Macaca mulatta: one gene and its partners. The protein of the gene in region 1 purifies or fractionates together with the protein of each later gene. This does not show direct contact. Links are inferred from orthologs where the notes say so. Each region holds a gene or a part of one and is shown on either strand. Other genes may lie near its edges.

Region 1 (3,732 bases):
TAAACAACCCACCCAACTACACTTACTAAAAGCATCTGCCCTGACTCGGGCTCAGCAGGACCAAGACCTGAACCCCTCCTCCTACAGTCACAGGCCTGCCTATCTAGTCCCCAAACACAGGGCAGGGGTCACAGACCTCCCAGCCCTTCCAAACCCAAGCCTGACACTCGGGACCAGTCAGAGGTCCCGGAATCTCTTCTCAAGCAGGGTTCCCAGCCACCGGTCCCGGCGCCCAGGAGCTCTGAGTTAGCCTGAAAGCCTGACCCATTACTCTTCTCCCCTTTCCCCCAGGGCTGGAACCCCATCTCCAAGCAGACCCTGTGGGTGGGGGGAGGGTGTAGCAGAGGAGGCAGAAAAACCAGCTGCAACACCCCCACCAACCACCAAAACCTCCAAAAATAACAGCAGCCCCCCACACACAACCCACTACACACCAGAAACGCAAAAACAAAATCCTACAAATCCAAAATAAAGCAAAAAAAAACAAAAGCCAATTACTGCCCCCAAAAGGCTTTGTAACCATTCTCAAAAAAAAGTTTATTAAAAGTGTTCTTACTTAATGCTTGAAACGGAAGATTCCCAAAATATACAGACGCCTCTTTTCTCATAGAAATAGATTATTTTTTATAATACAAAAAAAAAGACCAAAAAACAAAACAAAACAAAACATCAACAGCAACAAGCCCGTAGGAACATCTTTAAGCGATTACTCAGGGCCCGGCTGACAGTTACACGTGGGTTGCGTCAGTCCCGTGTACACACGCGTTCAGCCATGTTTAAACCGATTGCATCAACTTCGAAACCGGCCCGCCCGCCGGCGCCTGGAGAGGGGCAGAGGGAGAGGCAGAGAGTTTATCATTCATCTGTACACATAGACGTTTCTTCTTTAAATAACACCACGGGCGGGCGCCCCATCTGCATGTGCGGTTGGTTTGGACAAAAATATAGATATATATATATAATAAAATATTAAAATTACCGACGGGCTCCCCGCGCTGCCAAGTGCCCCAGTGCCAAAGTTTTGCCGGCGCCGCCGGGGGCGGAGGCGGGGGCGCGGGCGCGGGCGCTTCCCGGAGTCTCGGCCCCGGCCGGCAGGGGGACGCGCGCGGGGGCCGCGCTAGCAGTGGCCGGAGGAGGCGAGCAGGGGCTCGGGCAGCTGCTTGAACAAGTTCCGCAGGGTGCTGAGCTCGCGCGACAGCTGCTCCACCTTCTTCTGCAGCCGCTCGTTCTCGGCCGTGAGCTCCAGGACCTTGTGCTGCGTCTCCAGGTTGCGCATCTTGGCCTTGTCGCGGCTCTTGCGCACGGCGATGTTGTTGCGCTCGCGCCGGATCTTGTACTCGTCGCTGTGCTTGTCCACTGTCTTCTTGGCCTTGCTCTTGACCTGCGAGGGCGGCGGCGCGGCCCCCGCGTAGCAGGCGGCCGGGGGCGCCTTGGCGTCGGCGGGGCTCGGCGTGCCGGGCGGGCTGGACGACGAGGACGTGGAGAGGCTCCCGCTGCTGCCGCTCGGCACCGCCTGGTAGCCGAGGTAAGCGCGCAGCGCGTACGGGAAGCCCGCCGCCATGCCTGCGCCGCCGCCCGGCGCCCCGGCCTCCTCCTTCCGCTTGCAGTCCGCGGGCTCGAAGCCCGGCTCCGCCTTGAGCTCGGCGGGCGGCGGCGGCGGCGGGGGTGGCGGGTGCAGGGGCGCGAAGCAGCCGGGGTGCAGCGCGCCCTTGGCGGCCCCCAGGCGCCCCAGGCTCACGTAGCCGTACTCGGCCGGCTTCTTGCAGTTCTTGCCCCCGTAGTCGTCGGAGAAGAGGTCGGAGAGGAAGTCGTGGTGCTGCCCGGAGGAGGCGGGCGCGGGGGCGGGCGCGGGCGGAGCCGCCTCGAAGGTGTCCGTGGCCGTGGCGGGCGCCGGGGCCTGCGGCGCGCCCAGCGGCTCCAGGTACGGGCTGAAGTCGATGGCGCGCTCGTGGTCGCCGATGCTGCCCAGCTCGCCGGCTGGGGGGCGCGGCCCGGGTCTGGCCGCGGGGGGCGCCGCGGGGGCCGCCTTGCCGCCGTACGCAGCAGCCAAGCAGTCCGCCTCGTAGTAGAAGTTGGCCACTTCCATGGATTTAAAGGCAGGCGGCGGCGGCAGGGGGAGACATGCTGGGTCCCAGGCCACCAGGCGTTGCATGAACGCGGGTGCCCGGGGAGGGGGCCTGGGGCTGCCCGCTCCGGCCGGCCCGCAGGTGGCGCGGCCTCCCTGCTCTGAGCTGTCGCCGCTGCGTCGCTGCTGCTGCCGCCGCTGCCGGGGTGGCCGCTATTAGTGCGGGGGCTGGTGGCTGAACCCTCGGGTGGGTCCCCTTCCCAGTCCCGTGCGCGGCTCTGACTCGCTAAAGTTTCTCCTGAGCCCGGTTATTTATAAGGGCGGCCCGTAGCAACCGCTGCGTCACACCGGCCCCTCCCGCCGCGCCGCCGGGACGCGAAGGACACGGCCGCGGCCGCCCGAGACCCCCAGGAGGACGGCGGCAGGGCGCAGCGGAGGGACCGGGCACCCGGAGCGCGTTTTCGGGGGGGGTCCCCGGGCCGCAGGGGGCGGCCTCACGCCCCCTGCCCACCCCCGCCCGGCCGCCCCGGGATTGGGAGCGAGAGGGGGCGGTGCGACCCCGCCCCCAGACCGCCCCTCTGGGCTGGAGGCTGTCCTGGAAGGCGGGGGAATCGGAGGAGGGGGCGACCTGATCGCCTTCCCCCGGAGATGCGGCCCCGGCCCGCCCCCTGCTGGAGGAGGCGGAGGTTTCAGGAGGACCGAGCAGAGCCCCGACGGCGGACCAGGGGCCGCTCCCCGGGCGGAACCCTGGAGACCCCAGCCCGCAACTCTAGCTCCAGGAGAAGCGACCCATCTCCGTAGCCCTTCCCCCTAAACTCCCACCTCTTCCACAGGTCCCCGGCTCTAGAAAGGAGTAGACTCCACGCCTGTGACGATTCCCCTCTTAAGCCACCGCCAATATGAGGACCCCGGGGGTCGGGGGGACGGAGCAGGATCGCGCTGCGCTGGGGGCTGGACCCTGGTCCACGGTGTCCCGCCCCTAGCCCCGCCCACCGCACCTGCCGCCTGCTTGCGGCTTGTACACACCCGGGTCTTCTCTTGCCCCGCGCCGCGCCATCCGACCTGGGCCCTGCCACACTGTGCGACCTTGGATGAGTCACTTCTCCCAGCTGCAGTCCATGAAGGGTGTCGCTACTGTCAGCGGTGGTGGCATTGCTCCCACCAGACTCCCAAACCTAAGGCTTACGTTGTGGGCTGCACATCAGAGAGAAAGGGACCCCCATGGATTGTGCCAGTGGAGGCCCAGAGGGAGCATGGCATGGCATACCAAGGTCACATGGCCGCATGTCCCCCATTCATCCCAAACGAAATGCCCTCATCTGGGCCCTAAGACCTATTGCCAGCCCCAGAGGCCAAAAAGCTTCTGTTTCTGAAGCTGCTGGGGAGGGGCTTAAGCCAGGCCTCACGGGAGGGGGGTGGCATGCAGGAAACAGAGAAGGAAAGAGAAAGAGAAGTTTTTACCAAGTCCCTGCCCTGTGCTCAGGGTGGGCCTGGACCCCGAGGTTCTTTTTCACCCCACCAGGAAGATGCTTTTGCTGCTGCCGTTTCACAGATGGGAAAGTGACAACGGCCTGCCTGGACTTGAACACAGACCCAAGGCCCTCTAACTACCGGCCCGCCTCTGCTCCCTAGGCTCAGGTTAGAGGGCCCTTTGCTTTGCCCTTCCG
Region 2 (4,453 bases), on another chromosome or scaffold:
TATTAATTATTGTTATTCACTGAATTTTAAACAAGAGGTTCTGGTGAAAATCTGGTTTTAATAAGGGAGACTTCAACTACTTTATCTTCTCCAACGACATTTTAGTAAGAATAAAAACGATAAAGAAATGCCTACCTATAGACATATTTCATATTGGAAGGAAGAGCTTGAAGACAAAATAAGTAGAAACAGCACACATTGGTGAGACTGTTTACCTGATCTAACATGATCTAACAATTTACCAGACAAGAATGTATGTATCATTAAAACCCAAGTTTTCCAAAATACAAAAAGTTGGGTAGAAAAAATGTACATTATTCTTTGAAGAGTTAACGCTACCTATAGATAGATGTTTGATGTATGGAATATTTTTCAACCATACTCACAGAGCTTTCAGATCCTGAATACCAATAAAGAGTACCTCCACCCCCATTATTTGTTAAAATGCTGACAACCATTTCTACTATTTATTTATTTGAGACGGAATCTCGCTGTCACCCAGGCTGGAGTGCAGTGGAGTGATCTCGGCTCACTGCAACCTCCGCCTCCCGGGTTCAAGGGATTCTCCCGCCTCAGCCTCCTGAGTAGCTGGGACTACAGGCGCCACCACGCCCGGCTAGTTTTATGCACTTTTAGTAGAGACGGGGTTTCACAGTGTTAGCTAGGAAGGTCTCCTCACCTCGTGATCCCCCCGCCTCGGCCTCCCAAAGTGCTGGGATTACAGGAATGAGCCACCGCGCGCGCCCAGCCTCTATTATCTAAGCTTAAAAATAAAAAACAACGCCAAAGAAAAAAGTGCAGGAATTCCTGGGTTACATATTTAACTAATAATAATATAGTGCCCCAAATACGAAATAAACATTCGGATAAGGTATTTTAAAAAGGATTTTCAGGAAATGCACCCGGAGCTACAGAAGGTATTATATACCCTACACACACACACAAAAGGTCCCTGAAAGCTCCTTCCTTACTGACAATTAAAATACATAACATCTAAGTTCTAAATTTCCACGATATTACATTTTAAATCATTTCTTAAAACTTAATGGCAGTAGCATTCTCTCAAAGCAAGATTAAACGTCTTGGAAAGGCAACATACACATCACGGCAAATTTGGAAGATTCTCAGAAATTCTTTTACACATCACGGTAAATCTGGAAGATTCCTAGAAATTATTTTACAAAGACGAGGATTCTTAACTATTACGCAACTACTGACGGCCTTAAAGATCCATGAACTTTCTTAATCTTCAGAGGATATCTATTTTTAAAACGTATTTTACAAGGATGTTCCTATCATTTTGAAACAAAGTTTTTACGGTGGATTCCTCGAGTAAGAAAAAAAATGAATACATGATAAAACTGTTTCTGTGTTTGCACTTCAGGGCACTTAAACCTGTAGGTGTTACTTTTTAAAAAGCTTTTATAAAGCTTTACCTTCATAATTTTGATTCATGAGACCAAAGCTATATGGCTATATAAAGATTAGAACGGCTGTTACTGACAATGATAACGCCAGTGGTCATGTTTCTTCAAATAGGACAAAAAGTGTGCTCAAAGGAAGTCAGTTTTTGTTCTGATTTTAAATGTATATCGTAAATGCATGCATTGTGACGTCTCCATAATTTAAAACCTCTAAGAAATTTAAACTTTCACATTATAATTCAGGGATTAGTCAATCCCTTAGTACCAGTTAAATAATAGCCAGGAAAGCATTAGAAAACCTGAAGGTACATGTAAAGAAATGCTTTACATCACTACTTAAAATAGGTGTTGAATTTTAAGAGAAACATTTCTTTCAGTAAAATTTCTGATGCCTGAGGTCCATCAGGAATAATCTCTTTTACTACATGATATTCACAGTAGTTTTGCTCTTGGCCTCACCAGTTTTAAGACTCTCCATTAAGGAAAGCCAATTTTATACTACCTAGGGGCACAAAAATAGTCCCCAGCTCCTCCTCTCTTTTTCCTCCTAGGTTCGGTTAAACGAGCGAACATGGAAAACACGTACACACACTCCCTTTCGGCCCTGGTTCCTAGGGCATGATGAAAAGCAAATTATTTCTTTACATAAGGTCTGCTGTCCACCCAAAGAGATTAAAAAAAAATAGGGGAAAATACCAGAATCACTCTGCACCCACACCTAAGCCCCGCCCCACCGGGAAAAAGTGGGGGGTAGCGGGACTGTGAGGGTGGCGGAAAGGACGGAAAAGGCCGAGACTTGCAGCTCCCAGGTTCTCCACACCATTCTTTCCTTCAGGCTGCACCGCAGCCAGGGACCCTGATTCTATTTTCAGCCGCGCCTCCCGATCCTCCTCCCCGCCACCATCACAAATACACGGTCCTCAATCGCTTGAACACTGGGTGGGGAGACTAGAGTGGGCCCTCTCCCCGCCCAACCCAAGGACTGTGGGTGGGAGAGGTCTCCCTGCGCACACGGCTGACTCGACGCGCGCCCCGAGGACCTCTGAACTGACCCAAGCAGGGGGAAGATAAATCGGAGGGAGGGGTCTAAGAGGAGCCGTTATTCCTTTTTCCTCTGCCTTAGGAAAGCGCGCGAGAGGGAGGGGCCGGAACAACGAACGCTGGTTACCTAACGGTCCGGCCCAGCCAGTCAGTCTCCCAAAGCCCACACCGCGCGGGCCGCTAAGGTGGCATCACAGCCACAATCGCCCCAAGGGCTAAGAAGCACGTCAGGAGCACCCGAGGTGATGGGAAACGGGGGGTGGGGACTGTGCTGAGCGACGTCGCCATGTTAGCACCTTCTTTCTCCGTATCCCTACAGTCTCCAGCCCTGCTGACCTCTGCCCATCATTACTCACCTTTCCAGGTCACTAGTTCATGATCCTTTCGGTCACTCGTGAGCCCCGAGCACAGCCGTGTTTACAAACCACCCCTGGACGAAAAGGCTGAACGGCACTTTAAAGGCCACGGGCTCCCACAGGCTTCCGTCCTCTCTCGCGAGATCGGACTGACAACCCTCCTCCCCCCCCCCGACCCGCCCCGCTCCCGGCATCCCCCCCTTCCTTCTCGCGCCCCTCCCCTCCATGCTCACGCCCCGTCTTGCCTTCCTTCTGAGGGAGAGCCTCCGAGTCAGGTGATTCCGTCAGGCTTAAGGAGAAGAAGGCGGGTCTTCGGCAGGGCGGGTAGAGGGGACGGGCACCAAAGAGCACTCGGGCGCTCGTGATTGGGCAAGGAGCCCGAAGGGCGGGAAGCAGTTCTGGAGGGGGCGGGACCAGAGGGCCCAAGGAGCGTTACCTCTGTAAACCCAAGGCTGTGGAAGGCTGTGATTGGCTGTCGGCTGGAGGAGGGGGCGGGTGCAGGCGGCGGAGGAGGGGTAGGCAGGGTGTTGGCGGTGTGAAGCGAGGATGGTGAGCTCCAGAAAGGCTGGTAGGGGGAAGCAGGATGGGTCCTCCGAGCCCAGCCCCAGGAGCCGGGTGTCTCCGTTGCCGTCGCTTCCCAGCACTAGGTAGGGAGGTGGGTAAAGGTAGGCTGCGTTCCTCAGCCTACCCCTGGCTCCCCGGGAGTCTGAGACGGGGAGCTTCGGGTTAGGTGAGGTTTGCGGGAGGCAGAGTTTGCTGGTAATTCCCCATCCCTACCCTCCAATAAACCTCACACAACTTAAAGATTTTAATATTAACTGTAGGGATGTTGGTTATTCAATAAATAGGCACAAGTTGAAAAGTATGATCAGAGGCCTCTGAAAATTTACTCAATAAAAGATTTTCAGTCTTTTATTTTTCCATTTATTAAATACTGATTTCTAGTCTGTAACAAAATTATGAACTAGTTTATATATTAACATAAAATACACTCTCAAAGTTGTTGAAAGGTTTTAGGGGATATTATAAGAGATAATGAGCCTGAAGTTCAAGAATGATATCTGGCATAAAGTGAAATTGTAATGGCATTGACATTTTCACAGGTAGGTCTCTGGACTGCATACATGTATATAAGCCAACTCAGTCCTCTTTTAAAACTAATTTTAGTTAAAAAACATTAAGCCAAATTATTAACACTTTCCTACTTAAAATGAAAGTGTTGTCCCCATATAGTAACAGTAATGTTGTAGTAGTGTCATTGTAGTGTAACACTAACTATGTCAGCAAAACCTCACAGTTCAGATTACTCATGATGGAAATGGTGGACAAAATGTTTGATTGACATCACAGTTGTTAGGTCTAGAAAACATTGATTAAAATGATGCTTCTCTCTCCATCTCCCAAAACAACTAATGTGAGAAAAAGAATTAGAAATGTTACGACATTTCAAAAGAAGTTTGGGTCAATTAGAATAGATTTTTTAAAAAATTATTTTTCCATTCATGTGTATTAAAATTTGAAATTATTTTTTTCAGTATTCAATTGGGCAGTAGCTTTGGTTTTAAATTTCTCATTTCTACTTCTCTGGTCTGTTGTCAAGCAGTTAAATTATCTACATGATGCATTCGAGGA
Region 3 (4,233 bases), on another chromosome or scaffold:
AAGAACTTGCATTTTGTTTCTGCTTGATTATTTCCAATCAGAAATCATGTTGTATCATTGGTAGTTACATCATTTTCAAGAAAGTGAAACTACTCATGTATTCCTTTAACTGGAAATTCAGCTCCCAGATTTTTATTTCCTAGTAGCTACAGCTACATTGAATTTTCACTTTTAATTTTCATCCTCTTTCCACTAAGCATTGCTCGCTAACCATCTTATGTTACTAGGAAGCCAATACTGGCCTTTCACTAACTCTTCATATCTTGGTCTTCCTCCCAGACCTCTTGAAGATTGTAGGTGCAAAGCTGGGCATCAAGGGCCAGAGACAATGTTTCTGAACCTATCAGCGCCAATCACAAACTAAGCACTCACCAACAAATCACTTAGGCTTTCTGGGCCTCTCATTCTCTTCCTCTGTAATTTGAGATCAAAACTGCCTGCCCCAAAGGGCTGTTAAGAAGGATATATGAGATTTACATATACACTGGGTAGTCATTATTACTGTGACTCCATCTTCTCCATTTCAGGAAAAACTCATTCTGTTGTTATCAATTCAACAAAGCCCTGTTAGTGAGGAATTAACTAAAACCTTCAAGAAATTCAGGTCATTCAGAGCCTCTTTTGTACTCTGATTGACCCCAAGTTCTTCGCAGACCAGGTAGATGTCACCCCACTATTTGCTGACACCAGCATTTCTCCATTACATATTTGAAAGAAAACCAATTCTCACTTAAAAACCATTTCTCCCTTGGAAAGCTTCTGTGGCATCTTGACTATGTCCTTCCTCCTCCCCTGGCTGGGTAACACTTGAAGCCACTGGCCTTGTCCCATGCCCAGCCAATTTTAAAAAGAAAGGAATCATGGACTCTATCTAATGGAAATCACACCCTCTCAATATTAGAATCATCTAGGTCAGATTTTCATTTTGTAATGAGTACACTGGTCCAGGGAGGTAAAAATGACTTGCCTGAGGTCATAAAGCTGGTGAGTGGCCCATCCCATGCCAAGCTGCTGACCACCCACCAACTGCTCATTTTGCTCCATCACCAATAGGTATCACCACCTCAAGGGATCAACCAACAAGGCAACCAGAGAACAGAGCCATTAGCCAGGTAGATAAGGGGTCAAGAGTCCTGGCACTTGGTACCAACCACAGAGGAGACTTTGACAGGACTGAGATAGGGAGGGGCTATCGAAGAAAAGAGCCATGGAGAGAAAGGAATTCTATAATGGCTAAAGGGCAAGGAGGAAGAGAGAGAGAAAGAAGGCTCCCAGCACTGCCACAGATGCTGGGTGCTGTATCTTAGCCCCACTGCGGGCGTGGGGTGCTGCCTTCTTTGCTGTCTCTGAAACAATTCTGACAGTAACTGCAATCCTCACCACATCCCATCTTTGACCAGGATATCCTCAAAGCAGGAGCCTGTATGTTGTAGCATTATTCTACAACCAATGCTAACTGCAAAACAACGGGGACAGTAATACCAATTTTTTGCCTTCACTTTAAATTGTGGAGACAGAAACTTCGAACAGAAGATGTGACTGTCACCTACAACGAAAGGGGTACATTGAGAGAACATCCAGATTTTCTGGCTCTCCTTTTTTTTTTTTTTTTTTCTGGCTTCATCAAGGATTTAGTAACTATTTTATTTGTAAGAAAGCATATGTGACCTCTGCAATGAAATTAGGTAAAAGAAAATGTTTAGGAGGAAAGGAAGTAGATGAGAGACAAAAATGGGGATAGGAGGAGCACAGAAGGAGAAGGAATCCAGTGGAAAGAAAACTGGTGAGGGAAAAGATGCCCTGCAGAAAAGTCCCCTTTCCCCCACTGTCTGGACACCGGTCAATGACATTAGATAGAGACCCACAGCATTCAAGTCCCCTCACTGGCTCCTTTTCTTCCCACTACACCACCCTAGAATCTGAAAATCTCCAGACAGAAAGGACCTTAGCAGTTATCTGGTCCAACCACTGCATTGTGCCCTCCAACACGCAGAGGGGGCCGGTACTGCCCATGTGCCCCTATTTCCCGGCTCGGCATACTGAGGCTCAACGACATCGATTGCAGTGTAAGCGCTCAGAGTCCTGGCACTAGACCACAAAGCCATTCTCTCAAATATCTGCACAACTGGCTCCACACCCTCGCTTCCCCGCCACGGTGGGTCTCCCGCGGACCGGCCGAAGGAAAAGCCAGAGTGAGAGTCCCAGGTGTGTGGGAGTCCCGGGCTCGGGTTCCAGACACCAACCGGTGCCGGGAGCCCTTCCCGTCGTCCGCCCCGGGACAGCGCGACACCAGCGCTCTCCACTTCCAAACTTATCCCAGCTAACTTTTTCTCGGGGTTGCCTTCACGGTCCTGCCGCCAGCGCTCCGGGGTGCCCAGGGCGACCCCCAGCGGCCGCGCACGCGACGCCGCCCGCCCTCCTGCCCCTTCCCCATTCATTCCTCTCCGCGCGTGGGGCAGCCCTCCCGCAAGCCTCCCGCCTTCGTGCCTCTCTGCCAACCCCGGGAAGGATCGGCTCCCTCAGTGCCGTGTCTCGAAGCGAGGGATGCAGCGGGACGGCGAGCTGGGCAGCCTCGGACACCCCAGCGCACCCGCCCACCCACCTCACGCCCTCTCCCAGCCCCGCAAGCCAGCGCCGTCTGCGGAGAGAAGCGGCGCTCCAGGCTGGCGGCAGAGTGGACGCCAGACCTCCGTCACCAGGAACCTTTCGCGCCCCAAGTCAAAAGAGAAAGTTAGTTCTTTCGCTTTGCGGGAAACTTTTCAAAGCGCCGAGGAGCAGCGGTGGCTTAGAAGAAGTTAAAGCCAGAGTTATTTCCAAGCCGGAGACTGGGGGCGCGGATCTGGGGTGGGTCAGGGGTCGGCGGACTGGTTACTTAGAGGGGCGCGAAGGGAATGAAGGCAAGCCGCCCTCGTCGCGCTCACTCCCTTGGCTTCCAGCGCTCACCTCCAGGCTCCGCTCGGGGCGGCCAGGGTCCGGAGGACGGGCAGGGTCGGGACCGGGTCGGGCGGGCTGTTTGTCTGGCCGGCGGGCGAGCACCAAGGACTCACGGCCGGCGCGCGGGCTGAAGGGTGCGCTCGGGCGGCGGCGAGAGAAGAGAGCTGTGCAGTGCGCGCCTGGCTGCGTGCGACTGTGGCTTGGAGAGCGTTGCATCACCCCTTTTATAGCCCTCAGGCGGGCGGCGCGGTCGTTTACTCCGTGTTGCCAGTCCCGGGCTGACGTAATGCTATTAATAGCTTCCCGGGAGAACCGGCCGAACGGAGCGGAGGAAGGGGGTGGGGGAGGGGCCAAGGCGGGGCGGAAGGCGGGTGGAGATGGGGGGGCACTGGTGATGCAAGTTCGGGGAGGAGCCAGCCGAGGCGCGTTCCCCCAGCCTCGCTTACTGAGACACACACCAGCCCGCCCTCTCTCTCCATATCAGGACCGGAGTCGCCTGGGATAGCCGCCAGATGTGCGTACTCGCTGCTGCGTGTTCCAGGCATGACCAATGGTGCCCAAGCCAGCGGCATGACTCCACCGCGCTGGCATCTCTCCCTCCGCTAGGTTGAGGAGCGGGGGGGCGGGGAAGGTGGGGAGGCGGGTCCCGGCCCCAGCCCAGACTAGGTGAGGCTGGGAAGCGGGCACGACCTTTCTCTAAAATGCGTGGTCATTTTCTGGAGCTTCAGGAAAATACCCCCTCCCCCACTGGCCTCCTACTTCTCTAGCAGGGACAGAATAGGGGCAGAAGCGTTAGTCTGTGATGTGGGGAAGGTGTCCAAAGTCACTCTTCGGTGTATCCACGCCATTACCCGCCGGGTGTGACCTCCGCGGCGGGGACCGCGAGAAGCCCGCCCGTTAACACAAAAGCGGAGGGCAGCCCTCTGCTGGCACCGTGCGCCGGAGCCCACGGCCCCGGACCCTCCACATAGACGCACACGCAGGACAGCTCCGGGCTCCGAGACTAGGGCGAGTGGTAGGACCGTATCGGTTCGATTTTTCTTCTTTTTTTTCAATCACAAAGCGTTTGAAATTGACAAGAACGTCTCAGTGAAACCAACAAGAGCGTGAAAAGATCGGAGTCCCGGAGGAATCAGAGGCAGCCCGGTGGGAGCGTAGGAGGGGGCGGAAGCCAGTGGCCAGGACTAGGGGGAAAGAGAAGGTGCTTTGGGGTCCGCGAACCTGCCCAGGCCTGGGGGTCGCCCCGCTCTCAGGCGATATTTAGGGAAAACCCATCTTCAGCTTTCACGGGTTCTTCTG
Region 4 (3,726 bases), on another chromosome or scaffold:
CTCCAAAAAAAGAATAAAAGAATTACTTTCACGTATGGTAGCAGCAGGTACTCCACCAACGTTAATTCATAGTCTCATACAAAGGATGGGAAATAAGAGTTTTGGCTTCTTCCCACTCCAATAATAATATTCTTTCCAAGAGAGCTACATTTTGTATTATATCATGAACTTATTTTAGATCATCACAAATGTAATACTTTTATCTGTATTGCATGCTATGTGGTGGTAGGGGGTAGGGACTGGAGAATACACATTAAATAATCATTCCACTGAATCTGAAATCATCATTAGTTACAGTTAATTTAATTGGGAAGCTTCATAAATAACAGATTTTTAAAATAATATCAAACAAAAATCAGAAACCAATAAGAATCCAGCACAGCAATGCTAATTTGAACATAAACTTATTCCTGAAAATATACTTGGTTAATATTCATTTAGTGAGATTTTATCCAGCACTTTATTAATTCATCTTGTGAGGTCACCAATAAGAAAGAAGTAAACAGAACTCAGAGAATTTTCCCTCTTCTTTTTAAAATTTAAGCTGAAATCTACTCTCACAAACCAAGGGCCAAGTAGCACCTACTCACCACTAATGTCCATCTGTGATATTATAGCCAGTAAGGCAAATATACACCCAAATTCCTACAATAGCAAGGGGAGTGGCCTGTGATTTTACTCGCATCCTCCAACAGACCAAGTCAATACTTCCAAACTACTTTTACTCATTAATCATTCATTTTGCATGTTCCAGGCTTTAACAAAACAAACCCATCTGACTAACAATGAAAGGCTCCTTCTCCCCTTTGGCTTAGTGAGGCAATCTGTGGACTAGCAAACTTGAACATTCTGAGTCCACAAGGCAAAACTCACCAAAGTGAAAAGTAGCTCTAATTCATTCCACTAGTCTCTTACTAATTTAGAAATCAGAAAATAGGTCATTATACTGGCTTTTAATAACTACTGTAATGACAAGATAATTTACAGATTAGTCACTGTATGAGCCTGATGTGATTAAACACTCCAAACTCAGATATTGGTGAATAAATAAGCTGTAAGACACTGTTTTATGTATTTCTATAAATGATGAACTAATTCTGTAGAGTGGCTATCATATTTGTTAAAATTCTTTTCACAGTCGTGGCTAGCACTTAACATCTGTGCTTACGAAGAAGCTCCACTCTACTACCTTCTGGTTTTTCCTTGGAGTCATAAAGGCAAACATGAGCTACCCCACTTGTTCCCAAGGTTTTTCATCCATGGTAACAAAATGCCATAACTCTTGACTTTGTAAACCATAGTACAGGAGGAAAAACTCTTTCCCATATACAGAAGAGAAAACCAGAATAATAAGCAGTTCATCTTCATTATTTTTAGTTGTAAGCTGTTGGTCTAAAAGATTCACTATTTTACTATGTTTCTCTCTTTATATCTTTATAACAATATCGAATAGACTAAAGGCAACACAGATAACACTTTAGGAACAATTACATTTATTTCCTACATCTCAGATTCACTGGGGAAAAGGTATTACCTGACGCTGGAAATTGAGTAACCGAAGTGCTTTTAGTTCCACGGTTGCTTTGGTTCGTAAATCTGGTGGCAAAGAGCCAGGCAGATTTTCCAGTTCTTGTATCCTATGAGCTATGCGGGCCTGAAGTCTGAAGGAAACAATAAAACGGGGAAAAGGGGGCAGTGGAAAAACACATTACAATTTAATGTTACATGATAAACAATGACATCAGGTTTAAGTTCAGGGCAAAACATATTCCAGATACTGATAGTTGATTTCTGACACCCAACTAGAATTTTTGATGTTAAGCAGAGAAAAGCTACCTTTGTATTAATGCAGACAGGTATATGTTAACTTAACAATGTGGCTTCCTCCATAACCCCTATCTAACACCAGGGAAAGAGGGTTCACCCTGTATCTAGTGGGGAAGTCAAATGTCCTTGCTCGCTCTTAGCAGAGAGAGAAATGAGAGACAGAAACAATTGACTCGCTTCCTAACTCCCAGCCGGACAGAATGCAGAGCTGAGAGGACACACTTTTTTCTAACTTCTAGTTCTGTCCTAAGGCAACCGGACCATTTGTCTTCTTTGCCAAGATGCCGATGACGAACAGCCATTAAAGCGGAGAGAGCAAGAACGGTTTTAGGTGCTGATGCCACAGAAATCAGCCAACCCTAAACATTCAGAAAGCGCTCTGCCAGCCACAGCCACTTCCTCCGTGAGCAGAGCTTGCTTGAGAAAAGAAAATACAAATGAGGCTGTTTTTAAAAAATCAGGGCCAGCAGTAAATAGTACTCAAAAACCAAGAGTTTCTAGAAAAGGATGTTGAGGATTCTCGTTTTACACACCATCAAAAATATAACTGCATGTACTTCCGCATAATAAAGGCAGAGTAGAAAATAAAAGACCTCTCACTTTAGCCATTCACTTGGGATACTATTACTGTTAGATATATAAACTGCTGGTTTTAGAGTTCACCTGAATCCTATTCTGACAAATAATTATATGCCATTTAAGCCTGTTTTTAGAACTACATCCCCTAAATTTGAGGCAAACTGTACTGAACTAGATTTCAACAAAGAAAGAATAATGATAAAATGAGTAATAAGTTAAACTAGGTTAATATTAACAGAACTAAGTGCCTTTAATGCATAATTTTATTTAATTGTCTCTCTCTTACACACACAGACACGCCTCTCTCTATAAGGTAAATGTTATAATGGTCCCATGTTACTGATGAGGAAAACTGAAGACACCTGGAGATACCACAGAGCTAGTAAAGAAGGGGGCCAAGACTGGAACCTCAATTTGCCTGATACCAAAACCACTGCAATGAAACGGTAGATAATTAAAATATACTTTCTGAGAACCTTCCTGGACCTCAACTATAAAAGTTGAAAATTAAGAATTCTGTTTAAAATTATGCACAGCCATTAAAAAAAAAAAACAACCAAATCATGTCCTTTGCAGCAACATGGATGCAGCTGGAGGCCATTATCCTAAGCAAATTAATGCAGGAACAGAAAACCAAATACCGCATGTTCTCACTTTTAAGTGGCAGCTAAACATTGGGTATTCATGGACATAAAGATGGCAACAATACACACTGGCGACTACTAAACGGGGGAGGGAGGGAGGGCAGCAAGGGTTGAAAAACTTTTAGGTACTATGCTCATTAGCTGAATGATGGGATCCATTGCACCCCAAACCTCAGCATTATGCAATACACCCATGTTAAGAAACCTATTCATGCATCCCCTGAATCTCAAATAAAAGTCGAAATTATCTTAAAAAATGAATATTACAGTGTTTTCCAAACATGATGGTGTTGCCAGACTACAGAGCTGAGAGGACAGACTTTTTTTCTTTCTAACTTCTAGTTCTGTCCTAAGGCAACCAGGCCATTTGTCTTCCTTGCCAAGATGCTGATGATGACAGGCATCATTTTCATTAACATGAAAAAGTAAAACCTCCTGGTCCTAAATGCTGTAGGAGATCTAATACTTCATATAGCCAAATATCAAAATGAGTGATTTTTTGTAAAAACCTACAGTTGCTTAGTTTGGAAGGGAAATAAAATGTCATCATTTTTAAAAATTTTAAAATGGTGGTAAGGAAAACTATTTTTCAGGGACTTCACTAAAAATAATATCTACGACTGATTCTTATTTTATTTGCTAGATACATGTTATTCATTCTAATTTATTAAATGAT
Region 5 (3,726 bases), on another chromosome or scaffold:
TAATAGTGTTATTTTTAAAATACCTATCTACTAAGTCATATGGGAATATAAAAGGTAAGATAAATCATAATTGTTTTTAAAAATACCATCAGATTTGAGTAGAAAGCTCATCAGATGTATCTTAGAAGGACTAAGATGTGCTGGATTGTAGCCTACATGTGATTAGAAAAAAAATCCTTACCTTTGCTAATGTTTTCTTGGAGTAAATATCAGTACGTAGACCAAAGTTCTGCAAATCAATTGGTTTTTCCTTGTTTTTCTCAGGAAAATTTAGCATCTGTTGAGCAGCAGGAACCTGAGTCAAATAAATGATAAACGGCTGAGTTAGCCTCTTTAAAGTCAAGAGGGTAAACGTTTTTTAAAATTTGTTTAGGCCGGGCGCGGTGGCTCATGCCTGTAATCCCAGCACTTCGGGAGGCCGAGGCGGGCGGATCACAAGGTTAGGAGCTCAAGACCAGCCTGACCAAAATGGTGAAACCCCATCTCTACTAAAAATACAAAAATTAGCTGGGCGTTGTGGCATGTGACTATAATCCCAGCTACTCAGGAGACTGAGGCAGTAGAATTGCTTATAACCCGGAGGCGGAAATTGCAGTGAGCCAAGATCATGCCACTACACTCCAGCCTGGGGAGCAGAGACAGACTCTGTCTCCAAAAAAAAAAAAAAAAAAAAAAAAAAAAAAGGTTAATATTGGAACTTAAGCCACTCTTGGTGGATTTCCTACGAAAAACAATAAATACCCACACTTCTACACTATACTTCTAACAAAAATTCAACATACAAGTTACATTTTGGTGTCCCTTAAGTCCAGAAAGGATAACAAATTTTCATTACTATATTCTATTTCACAATGGAACAAAATTTATACCTTAGGTTCCTGTGAATCCAACTTAATGCTATACAGAATTTGTCTGACATAATCTGTTTGATAATGTATATATGGATGTCCACTTTACAAATCTTAGGACAAGTTATAAAGATTTCTTTGCTTCACGTTTCTAGAACACAGACTGAAGGAAGGGAAAGAAGATTTTGCATCATCTGCTTACTTATGTGTGTCTTTTTGATGACAGAAGGATAAAGGGAGTTATGCATATAAAAGTAAATTAATAATTTGATAGACTAAGGCATTGGGTTTTGGGATTGGTGGGACAGCATTAACTTAAACACTATATATTCTTTTGGACTGTAATATTTACAGTACACCAAAACACACATACAAACAAGCATCAAAGAAACAGCACTAACAACAGCATTCCTAAATAGATATGCTATAAACAGACATTTGTTACTATTCAGGTCTGATGAAAAGTCAACATTAATTTACCTGAGGTGATCGAAGATGCAGAGGCACAAGCCCAGAGGGAGTATCAGCTAATACATTAAAATGAGGAGTAGGAGGAGGTCCCATTGCCATAGGTCTACTTTCCGGGTCAACTTGGTAATTAACGAGTCCCCACTGCTCTAAAAAGGCATGGACCCTAAAGAATAAAGCTCGGAAAGTTAAAATCTAAAGAATCAATTTCATGTGCTTTATTATCATCATTACACCATTAAAAAACAGAAACAATAAAACAAGTAAATGTGCTCAGCAGGCTATCAAACACCACAAATTACTTGACAGATTTTGTTTGTTATGTAGGGAACAATTTCTACAAGCCACAAATAATGTTGATAACACAGCACCCCCCAAACCTATTACAAAGTTTAATCATTTAAATCACAGAAATGAGAGCACAAATACGCATTTAGGTCCATGGTAATAAAAGAACCCACACACAGACCAAATACACACATAGAAAAAATCCACATTTTTCTTGACAGAGTCTCGCTCTGTCTCTCAGGCTGGAGTGCAATGGTGCAATCTCAGCTCACTGCAACCTACTCAGCCTCCTCGGTTCAAGCGATTCTCCTGCCTCAGCCTCCCAAGTAGCTGAGAGTACAGGTGCCCGTCACCATGCCCAGCTAATGTTTGGTATTTTTAGTAGAAACAGGCTTTCACCATGTTGGCCAGGCTGGTCTCGAACTCCTGACCTCTGGTGATCCACCCACCTCGGCCTCCCAAAGTGCTGGGATTACAGGTGTGAGCCACTGTACCTGGCGGGTTTTTTTTTTGTTTTTTTTTTGGCAGAGCTAGGGCGCAGAGTTTATCCACTCCCAACCTGAATCTACTCCTTCCCTGGTTATTTTATGATTTGACTAAAAAAATTAAAATGTGAACTGTAAAATCTAGAAAACTAAATTAAATATTTATCTTACTTATTTTATTTTTTTGAGACACAATCTCGCTCTGTCGCCCAGGCTGGAATGCAGTGGGACAATCTCAGCTCACTGCAATCTCTGCCTCCTGAATTCTCCTGCCTCAGCCTCCCCAATAGCTAAGATTACAGTCATGTGCCACCACGCTCGGCTAATTTTTATATTTTTAGTAGAGAAGGGGTTTCACCATATTGGCCAGGCTCGAACTCCTGACCTCAGGTGATCCGCCCACCTTGGCTTCTCCAAGTGCTGGGAATATAGGCGTAAGCCACTGCACCCAGCCTAAATTAAATATTTTAAATTTTCAACCTCTAATGCTGAACACAGTGCTCACGCCTGCAATCACAATACTTCAGGAGACCGAGGCAGGAGAATTGCTTGAGGCCAGGAGATTGAGACCAGCCTTGGCAACATTATGAAATCCCATCTCGACAATAAAATTAAATTAATAAAATAAAATAAAAATAAAATAAATTGAATGAAATGAAAGGAAACAAAATATAATCCACCCCTAAATGACACAACTAAAATTAGGTGTTTTACCCAGTTGAAACAACCAGTTTAATATGACAGCAAAGCATAAGTAAATTCCTACAGTTAAATGTCTCAGAAAAAGTCAAACATTTTACCTCATCACAGCACACACATCTCCAGTCAAGTTCCTCCGACAAGCAGTGCTAGTTAAATACTCTTGGGGGTTTAGGCGATACGTGTCAATCATAAAATTTCGATATGCCAAGTATCTAAAAAGCAATGGCAAAATTCATAAGGTGGACACGTATCCTTTCAGAAACAATGTTACTCAGAAACTCAAAAATCTTCAGATTCCTTAGAAATACAATAAATTAAGACAAGAGCATAAAAAAACGGTGATATTATATTGCATATTAAGTTATGAGTGAATTTAGAACCACAAATATGCAAAACAACTGTTTACTAATGTATAATAACAAGTAATGTAACGACATTCATGTGAAGTAACATAAATTCAAACTTGGTCATGGTGGTAGTTAACTGCAGAATTTGAAACTAACACATGGTTACATAGGCTATCTGCCTCACTACCACATATCTATACTTTACTGTGTGCAGGGCACTGTTATAAGCAATGTATGTCTGACAACTGAATCCTCATAATCGCTCCATATTGCAGGTAGGGTCTGCTATCATCCCATCTATGGGTGAGGAAACAAACACTGAGTTGTTAGAGAATTTGTCCTAGCCACAGGGTTGGTAATTGATGGAGCCAGAATTCATCGCACCCAGTGTGGTGGCTCTTCAATCTATGCTCTCAACCTCTGTTGCCTATCACTTCTGTATTTCAAATGTGGCACGTGGATTTGGCTCTGAAAATAGCTATGTAACTTCTCGTGGCAGTTCTTTAAGGGAGATCATGGCTGGGCAACAAGTAGAATCCATGAGACCAAATCCAGAAAAGAACATACGAAAATGGAGAGAGAGACTGA

Evidence for each region.
Region 2: the proteins of CEBPB (region 1) and ATF2 purify together in Homo sapiens (affinity purification with western blotting; 3 studies listed by BioGRID and IntAct, with this or other methods). This does not show direct contact. The link is inferred for Macaca mulatta from reciprocal best matches to the Homo sapiens genes CEBPB and ATF2.
Region 3: the proteins of CEBPB (region 1) and ATF3 purify together in Homo sapiens (affinity purification with western blotting; 3 studies listed by BioGRID and IntAct, with this or other methods). This does not show direct contact. The link is inferred for Macaca mulatta from reciprocal best matches to the Homo sapiens genes CEBPB and ATF3.
Region 4: the proteins of CEBPB (region 1) and SMARCA2 purify together in Homo sapiens (affinity purification with western blotting; 5 studies listed by BioGRID and IntAct, with this or other methods). This does not show direct contact. The link is inferred for Macaca mulatta from reciprocal best matches to the Homo sapiens genes CEBPB and SMARCA2.
Region 5: the proteins of CEBPB (region 1) and SMARCC1 purify together in Homo sapiens (affinity purification with western blotting; 3 studies listed by BioGRID, with this or other methods). This does not show direct contact. The link is inferred for Macaca mulatta from reciprocal best matches to the Homo sapiens genes CEBPB and SMARCC1.

Annotation. Positions count from the first base shown.
Region 1 is NC_133415.1:103,041,718-103,045,449, reverse strand, and holds CEBPB (CCAAT/enhancer-binding protein beta), read right to left. Parts: upstream 2,354-3,732; 5' UTR 2,153-2,353; coding exon 1,118-2,152; 3' UTR 513-1,117; downstream 1-512. UniProt on the Homo sapiens protein: Important transcription factor regulating the expression of genes involved in immune and inflammatory responses. Also plays a significant role in adipogenesis, as well as in the gluconeogenic pathway, liver regeneration, and hematopoiesis.
Region 2 is NC_133417.1:80,095,068-80,099,520, forward strand, and holds the start of ATF2 (cyclic AMP-dependent transcription factor ATF-2), read right to left. Parts: upstream 2,976-4,453; 5' UTR 2,822-2,975; intron 2,482-2,821; exon of another isoform or gene 2,406-2,481; intron 1-2,405. UniProt on the Homo sapiens protein: Transcriptional activator which regulates the transcription of various genes, including those involved in anti-apoptosis, cell growth, and DNA damage response.
Region 3 is NC_133406.1:70,340,058-70,344,290, reverse strand, and holds the start of ATF3 (cyclic AMP-dependent transcription factor ATF-3), read right to left. Parts: upstream 3,017-4,233; 5' UTR 2,944-3,016; intron 1-2,943.
Region 4 is NC_133420.1:97,412,831-97,416,556, forward strand, and holds part of SMARCA2 (SWI/SNF-related matrix-associated actin-dependent regulator of chromatin subfamily A member 2), read right to left. Parts: intron 1,662-3,726; coding exon 1,535-1,661; intron 1-1,534. UniProt on the Homo sapiens protein: ATPase involved in transcriptional activation and repression of select genes by chromatin remodeling (alteration of DNA-nucleosome topology).
Region 5 is NC_133407.1:111,044,946-111,048,671, forward strand, and holds part of SMARCC1 (SWI/SNF complex subunit SMARCC1), read right to left. Parts: intron 3,004-3,726; coding exon 2,890-3,003; intron 1,483-2,889; coding exon 1,329-1,482; intron 296-1,328; coding exon 182-295; intron 1-181. UniProt on the Homo sapiens protein: Involved in transcriptional activation and repression of select genes by chromatin remodeling (alteration of DNA-nucleosome topology).